Linked DNA regions of Oryctolagus cuniculus. The protein of the gene in region 2 purifies or fractionates together with the protein of the main gene of each other region. This does not show direct contact. Links are inferred from orthologs where the notes say so. Each region holds a gene or a part of one and is shown on either strand. Other genes may lie near its edges.

The links.
Region 1: the proteins of CBX1 (region 2) and CHAMP1 purify together in Homo sapiens (affinity purification with mass spectrometry; 6 studies listed by BioGRID and IntAct, with this or other methods). This does not show direct contact. The link is inferred for Oryctolagus cuniculus from reciprocal best matches to the Homo sapiens genes CBX1 and CHAMP1.

The regions. Positions count from the first base shown.
Region 1 is NC_091440.1:34,357-38,299, reverse strand, and holds the start of CHAMP1 (chromosome alignment-maintaining phosphoprotein 1), read left to right. Parts: upstream 1-1,143; 5' UTR 1,144-1,299; intron 1,300-1,470; exon of another isoform or gene 1,471-2,746; intron 2,747-3,943. UniProt on the Homo sapiens protein: Required for proper alignment of chromosomes at metaphase and their accurate segregation during mitosis. Involved in the maintenance of spindle microtubules attachment to the kinetochore during sister chromatid biorientation.
Region 2 is NC_091448.1:24,353,206-24,356,516, reverse strand, and holds the end of CBX1 (chromobox protein homolog 1), read left to right. Parts: intron 1-2,580; coding exon 2,581-2,758; 3' UTR 2,759-2,811; downstream 2,812-3,311. UniProt on the Homo sapiens protein: Component of heterochromatin. Recognizes and binds histone H3 tails methylated at 'Lys-9', leading to epigenetic repression. Interaction with lamin B receptor (LBR) can contribute to the association of the heterochromatin with the inner nuclear membrane.

The DNA of each region.
Region 1 (3,943 bases), on a different chromosome or scaffold from region 2:
CTCAAAACAATTAAAAAGAGTTACCATGGATCCAGTAACCCCACTCCTGTGTAAATATCTAAAAGAATTGAAAGAATCTCAAAGACATATTTGTACACTCACGTTCATAAAAGCATTCACAATGGCTAAAATGTGGAAGCAAATCAAATGACAGATGAATGGATAAGCAAAAGATGGTATACCCATACTATGGAATGTTTATTAAAAGCCTTAAAAACAGAATCTCTGCAGTATGCTACAACACAGGTAAACCTGCAGACATCATGCTAAAGTTAGCGATAAAAAGGTAACATTTCATTGATAGGAATAGTCAGATTCAGAGATGGAAAGTAGAACAGCCATCTTAAGGGGCAAGGCGGGAGGAAGGGAGGTACTGTGCGGTGGGTATGGGGTTCCACCGTTACAAGACGAAAGGGTCGGATGGTGATTGTTGCTCACTGCGAATGCACTTAATGCCATTGGACTATACACCTAAAATTGTTAAGATGATAGATTTTATGCGTATTTTGCCACAGTAAACAGCATCTCAGGGTAGACATCTGGTGCAGAGGTTGACACCCTATCAGGGTGCCAGGGCTGCAGTCCCACGGGGCTGGCTGGTTCCACGTGGGGGACCCACCGAGATCAGGGCGCCCAGTTTCTGGGCCTAGGTCCCGAGCGTTGTGGGCATTTGCGGGAGCGAACCAGCCCTGCGAGCCCTCTGTCAAATAAACAAGCATAATAACTTCTAAAGGAAACGAATGGAAGACATCTGGTCAGTCAACCTAGAGTGAGCTCGGAACCAGGTGCACGCACCCTCCCCGCTCGCGGGACGGAGGTCCGGGAGCCTGAGGAGAATGTTCGTCTCCGACAGCTGTCCCGGACGTCATCGCGGGCGCTGGGCCTGCCTTTCTTCCCTAACTCCACTCACACGACAGCACGAGAAACGCGAGAGAACGCGAAGCAGCACCGAGGCACGGCCCGCTCCGAGCCCCCGCCCACTCGGCCAGCTCCCGCGCGCCGGGCGCGGCGGCACTTCCGGGGCGGGCGCTGCGCGCGGCACTTCCGGGAGCCGCGCCGCGCCGCTGCTCGCGCTCGCGCAGTGCGCACGGCCGCGCTTGGCGATCGGCGATCCAATTGGCCTGCGCGGCGCCCCACTCGCCTCCCGGCCGAGCGCGCGCACGCCCGCGCCCCCGGCGCCGGCCCCTGCGTCCCGTCGCCATTCGGAGGCCGCGCCCGCAGGCCCCGCGGAGTCGCTGGCGCCCGAGCCGGGCCTCCCCGCCGGCCTCGCCCACCTGGACGCCGCCGCGGCCGGGACCGGTGAGGGGCGGGGGCGGGCGCGGGCGGGCGGGGGCGGGGTCCGCGCCGCGGACTCCGAGCGCGGGGCCGGCCGGTCCGAAGGCAAGGTCCGCCGGCCGCTGGCGTCCCGGGCAGCGGGAAGGACCCCTCCCCGGAGGCGGGCGTGGGTCGCCATTGTGCAGGGGGCGGGCGGGCCTGGGGCGTTTTGTGTAAAGCGGAGACGGGCTCGGTTTCGGCCCCCGAGGTGGCTGTCTTCTCGCGCGTGCGGGGCTCCTGCCGCTCGTTGTGCCCGCAAGCCCGCTAGGCAGGCCACAGCCCGGGAGCGGACGTTTGCAAATCCTAACTCGGGTGTAGGGTCTGTACCCGGGACACAGGACTGCACTGGGCAGCGCCGCGTCCGGATGGGTATTTGCCCGGAGACGACACCCGGAGGGCGGGTTAGCCGTTGGGAAGCTGCAGCTAACCCCCCGCGAGGGCGCACCTCACACCTGTTAGGGTGGCTGAACACAAAAGGCACTGGAGTGTGGTTGAGGAAGTGAAGTCGGAACTGGGCCCGTTGCCGGTGGAGCCCCGGGCCGACCCGCAGGGTGGGAGGCCGCCGCTCGGATGCCGACCCCGGGTACCAGCAGAGCAAGCTGAGGTGGTTACGTATCATCCCCAGAAGCAGTGAGCCGCTGATACTTGGCTGTGGGATGGATGAACCTTTAAACATGTTAAGTGAAATAAGACACAAAGGGACAAACACGGACGATTTCTTCCACTCAGGAGACCAGGCTGTGGGAAGCAGGGAACAGGATTGATTGCGATGATTAAAGAGTTCTGGAAATGGATCTTGGTGATGGTTGCTTATACTTAACGGATGAAGTTGTGCTTTAAAAAATGATAAGTTTTTGGTTCAGGTTTCCCGCACTTTAAAAAGGTAGAACTACAGAGATATTGAAAAGACTGGTAATTGTTAGGAACACAGGGAATTTTCATGTTGGTGAAATTACTGTGACTGTCATGGTACATGTGTGACTGTATGTCTGCCAAAACCCATGAAATTGCAACATGAAGACTGGCTCCTCTAAGCTGTTAACCCGAGTTAATAACAGACCAGTGTTAGCCATCCCAACTGCAGGATGTTAAGGAAGGCTGGGCAGGGGATTGGGAGGATGTATTGGGGGTTTCTCTTCTTTCTGTTCAGGTTCTTTTAAACAAAATTACTTGAAAAATAGTGTTTAAAAGTCAAAGCGGGGTGCAGAATAGTGCTGGTGTGTGTTTAGACGAATAGAACCCTTCAAATGTGCATGACATGTTGACTTTTTTATTTAAAAATCTACATGAAAATATACTTAAAAAATGACCAGTGGTGTTAGATTTCAAGGAAGAAATTGGATGGGAAATGGGAATTGATGTGACAGCACCTGGACCAGCAGTGCGTTGAAGAATTCTGAGTGATGGGCTGGCAGAGCATTGTTTCAACAAGGTACAGCCTGTAGAGACAGAAGAGAAAATTTCATTACCCTGGACAATTTAGACTTTTTGTCTGAAATTAGAAAATACATTGACTAGAATCTTCCAGCTGGAGGGACTCAATTCTGTGACTTCGCTGTGTGTCCTGTGCTGAGGGAAAGGCAGCCTTGCTGTTACAGCGGAGATCTAGAACCAGGAATCCAGGGTGTTCCTTTGCTTCCTCTGACCTAATCCTTATCTCTGACAGGTCGCTTGTCTCAGAATCAGCTTTCTCAGTGGTAAAATGAAGAGGTTGGTCTCAAGTCCTGTGAAGATCAGTAGCTTCTAGTCACGGAGTGTTACCACTGGACCAAGAAGCTTGTCTAGTTCAGGATGGAGTAATTTGTTTTCTTACTGGCTTCTGCTTGTTGCTTCTAAGGAGACCTTAGACAACATTCATAATTCTTCCCCCTTTGAAGTGAAATGTTTGTATTCACAGACATGTTTTTAAAGACTGCTGCCATCATTGTTGCTTGCTGCTGCTTTTTTAAAAAAATGTATTTTCATTTATTTGAAAGGTAGGGTGGGAGAAAGGACATATCATTTTAATCTCCAAACTGTATCTGTGAATTACATTGAACCTGATAAAAACTTAAAAAAAAAAAACCAGAAATTAACAAATCACAATAATGAAAGATCCAGGAAAACTCAAGATACTAAAATTAAACCACATCATCTAAATAAAAAAATGAAGGTAGTGCAATAGAAAGATTTTCCATTCATTAGTTCATTCCCCAAATGCGCACCACAGAATCTGGGTCTCTCATAGGGGTGACAGAGACCCAACAACTTGAGCTATTGCTGCTGCATCAGCAGGAAGCTGGAATCAGAGGCAGAGCTGGGACTTGAACCCAGGCAGTCTTGACATGGAATGTGGGCATCTCAAATGGAACTTTTTTTTTTTTTTTTTAAATTTCATTTTATTTATTTGGGAGGCAGAGTGGCAGAGAGATGGAGAAACAGAAAGAGATCTTTTTGCTGTTTCATTCCCCAATTAGCTGCATTGGCTAGGGCTGGGCCAGGGTGAAGCCAGGAGCTTGGAACTCTATCCAGGTCGCCAACATGGGTGGGAGGCACCCAAATACTGGGGCGTTTCCCCCTGCTTTCCCAGGTGGAGCTGGATTGGAAGTAGAGCAGATGGGACTCAACTGGTGCTCAGATATGTGATGCC
Region 2 (3,311 bases):
GCAGATGGAAGATCTCTGCCTCTGTAACTGCCTTTCAAATAAATAGATCTGAAAAAAGGAACTAGAGCTGATAGTGAAGCCTTAGTATCTTACTCCCTCCAGTGTTTGACTTTTGCATCACTTAGTGACAGGATACTTTCTGAGAAATGTGTTGTTAGGCGATTTTGTCTTTGTTGACCATCATAGTGTACGTACACAAACCTAGATGGTTTGACCCACTACACACCTACACTACTATACGGTATATACCATCATTCACACAGCCTGTTGCTGACTGAACTAGACAGATAGCGCTACAGCTCAGTGTTAACCTAGGAAGAGTCTTGGCTTTTGGTAATGGTAGCAACATCCTCGTATTTTAGCAAGGGGACAAGAAAGTTCGATAAGAGGTGCTTAGGACCCAAGACAAGTATCAGTCTACACAACTTGGTTAGAATTTTCTCCAAAAGCTCCTGATTTCCTAGCCAGTATGTTTAAAGTTGTTTATCTCCTGTATATGCATGACTTTTAATTGACCTTGGCCATGTAAATTTCTGTTGAATAAATTGAAATGTCAGAAGCAAGTGAAATCTGAAATAGAACCACCCTGGGATGAAAAGTTGAGCCATTGAGCCTGCTGTGTGTGGACAAGCAGAGTGGTCGCAAGGGGTTTTTGTTTGTTTTTGTTTAGGTCAGTCAGCTAGCAGAGGTAAGGCAAGGCTGAACTAAGTTGAGACTACATGCTGACAGTTAAACTTTTATGCTTTTTGTTCAGCCTGTGTTAAAATATTCAGCAGGACTAGGTCTGCATTTTTGATCTTATGGGTATGGTGGTTTGTGTTAGTACCAAAGCCCATTTGCCCCGGGTGGATTTTTAAATCCTGGTTGACTTTGATCAAGCCTACTATTTGCTTGCTGTTTGCATAGCCCAGGAGTTAGGGCAACATTGAAACCTGGCTGTGGGACATTAGCCCATTGTTTGAGTTACTGCCTTAGCCTGTAGCTGAGGACTGGAAGGTCTGAGTCAATTGTATTAACCTGAACTTGTATTTAAAATGAGGCAAAAGTGCCAGCTTGTGTTCTTTTCTACACCTCTCCCCAGGTGAACTTAGTTTTTTTTCCTTTGTTTGAAATAGCAACTGGAATCATGTACAAAGTGTTGTTCAGCCCGTCTCTATTCTGCAGTCTGGGAGCCAGCTCTAAGGCCTCAGAAGGAAAAGGAGGCTTCTATCCAGCTGACGTTGGAAACGGTTCCAGCAGGGCCCCATACTATCACTGCTCAGGGACAGTTAGAGCACTAGTTTGTTTCTCAGGTGATTGAGGCAGACCTGAACTCCAAGCAGCTTTGGACAGAACAAGGACTAGAAATGGTAGAAGTTGCACACATGTCCCCAGGATCCACGCATGCTCGTTCTCTGCTACAAAGTTCAGAACCAGAGGCGAGCAGGAGGACTGACTGCTGGGAGAAGCAAGCAGACATGCAAAGGGTTACTCTTGCTACCCTGACAAAACAAGTCAAAGCTTGATGGGTCCCCTTTAGTTACCAAGCTTGTTAAGTGAAAAAAAAACAAAACAAAACAAAACAAAAAAAAACAAAAAACCAAGGTTTAGCCATCCATGAAGATGAAGCCTGTGGATTTTGCTAGAGTTCCACAGTTGACAAGGAAATTGACTTCTGAGAGGCAGACATAATCCTGTACCTATGTTTATCCATGGATAGCATCAACCTACAGACTTCTTGGTATTCCCCCCGCCCCCCACTTCAGTAGGTCTGAGCTGCTTTCCATCAGAGCCCAAGGGTGAGGGTAGGAGACTTTAGGGAGGTGGGTATTATTTTTTTCTACAAGGCACTTGGTTAAACTACTTGTCCAAGAATCCTGAAGAGCAGCAAGGTCTGGTTTTGTAAAACAGGATGAATGAGGCCTGCCCCCTCAAAGAAGCAGGGCTCTATGGAAAGTAGCCTCCCATTTATGCATTTGAGTAGGTCCTGCTTTGCTTCCCCCAGCAAAGCTGAGGGAGTTAGCCATGGCGGCTAGGTCCTGACATTAAGTGATGTCTAGATCACTATTTACCCCTTAGCTTCATTGGGGAGATCCATACAGGGCAGAGGGTTAAACAGTGGGTCTACAGGGCTGGTGCTGTGGTATAGCAGGTAAAGCCACCGCCTGCCATGCTGGCATCCCATATGGGCACCAGTTCGAGTCTTGGCTCTTCCACTTCCTATCCAGTTCTCTGCTATGGCCTGGGAAAGCAGTAGATGATGACCCAAGTGCTTGGGCCCCTGCACCCAAGTGGGAGAGCTGGAGTAAGCTCCTGGCTCCAGATCGATCCAACTCTGGCCATTGTGGCCATGTAAGGGAGTGAACTAGCAGATGGCAACCTCACTCTCTGCTTGTGTAACTCTTTCAAATAAATCCACCAATCTTGGGGGGGTGGGGTGGAGTGGGCCTGCATCATCCCACATACATGCGTGGAAGTCAGTTTAAATGAAGCCCAGGTCTTCAGAAGCAAAGCAGGCTTGCCTATACCCAGCCAAGCAGGTCACCAGAGTGCTTGGCCCTTAGTTAACTCTAAGGTCTGCTCCTCTCTGCCCCCCTGCAGGACCTCACTCCCTGGATGCATGCATAGTGGCGGCAGCCCCTCCACAGGCCTTCCTGGAGTTCTCGCATCTTCTTGCTGCCAGGAAAAGCCTACAGGGCTGCAACACCCACTCTACCTGCCAGCAGCAAAAGGAGGTCAGCCCCGCAGCAGTGCTGACCAACCTGGCCCGAGGCCCTGACTAATCAGTGCGATCCCGGACAAAACACCTCTAAGGGGCCAATACACTCAGCTCCAAGCAGGGAGAACACCGCAAGGGAAAATGAAGGAACTGTGTTCAAACCTAAATTTCCTGAAGTTACAAAACAAGCCTAATTGTGTACCAAACAAAAACAACAGCAGCCTATTCTACACATCTATGAACAGAAAACTATTGCCTGAATTTTACTTGGTTACCCTTTAGGGTGGTTTCCTTTTTTTTTTTTTTTTTCCCTTTAAGAATCCTACTTTCTTCTGGTCTACGTCAGCCAACTCCAAAGTAAGAGAAAGCTATTTGACAACTGACCCTTCTAACCGAGTGGGAAAACCCTGTAAATTAAAGCATATGAGTAAGAAGTGAGTGTTTTCTTAGAGTTCCTCTCCATCTCTTAGGACAATCCTACGAGCATTAAAGGACCGAGATGCTGAGACGAACCAGATTACACAGGTAGCTGCAAGTTCATGATCACAGCCTGTACCTCTAGACTCTGCAGCTATGCCCAGGAGACTGCCAGGGGAGCACTGGCCACACACTC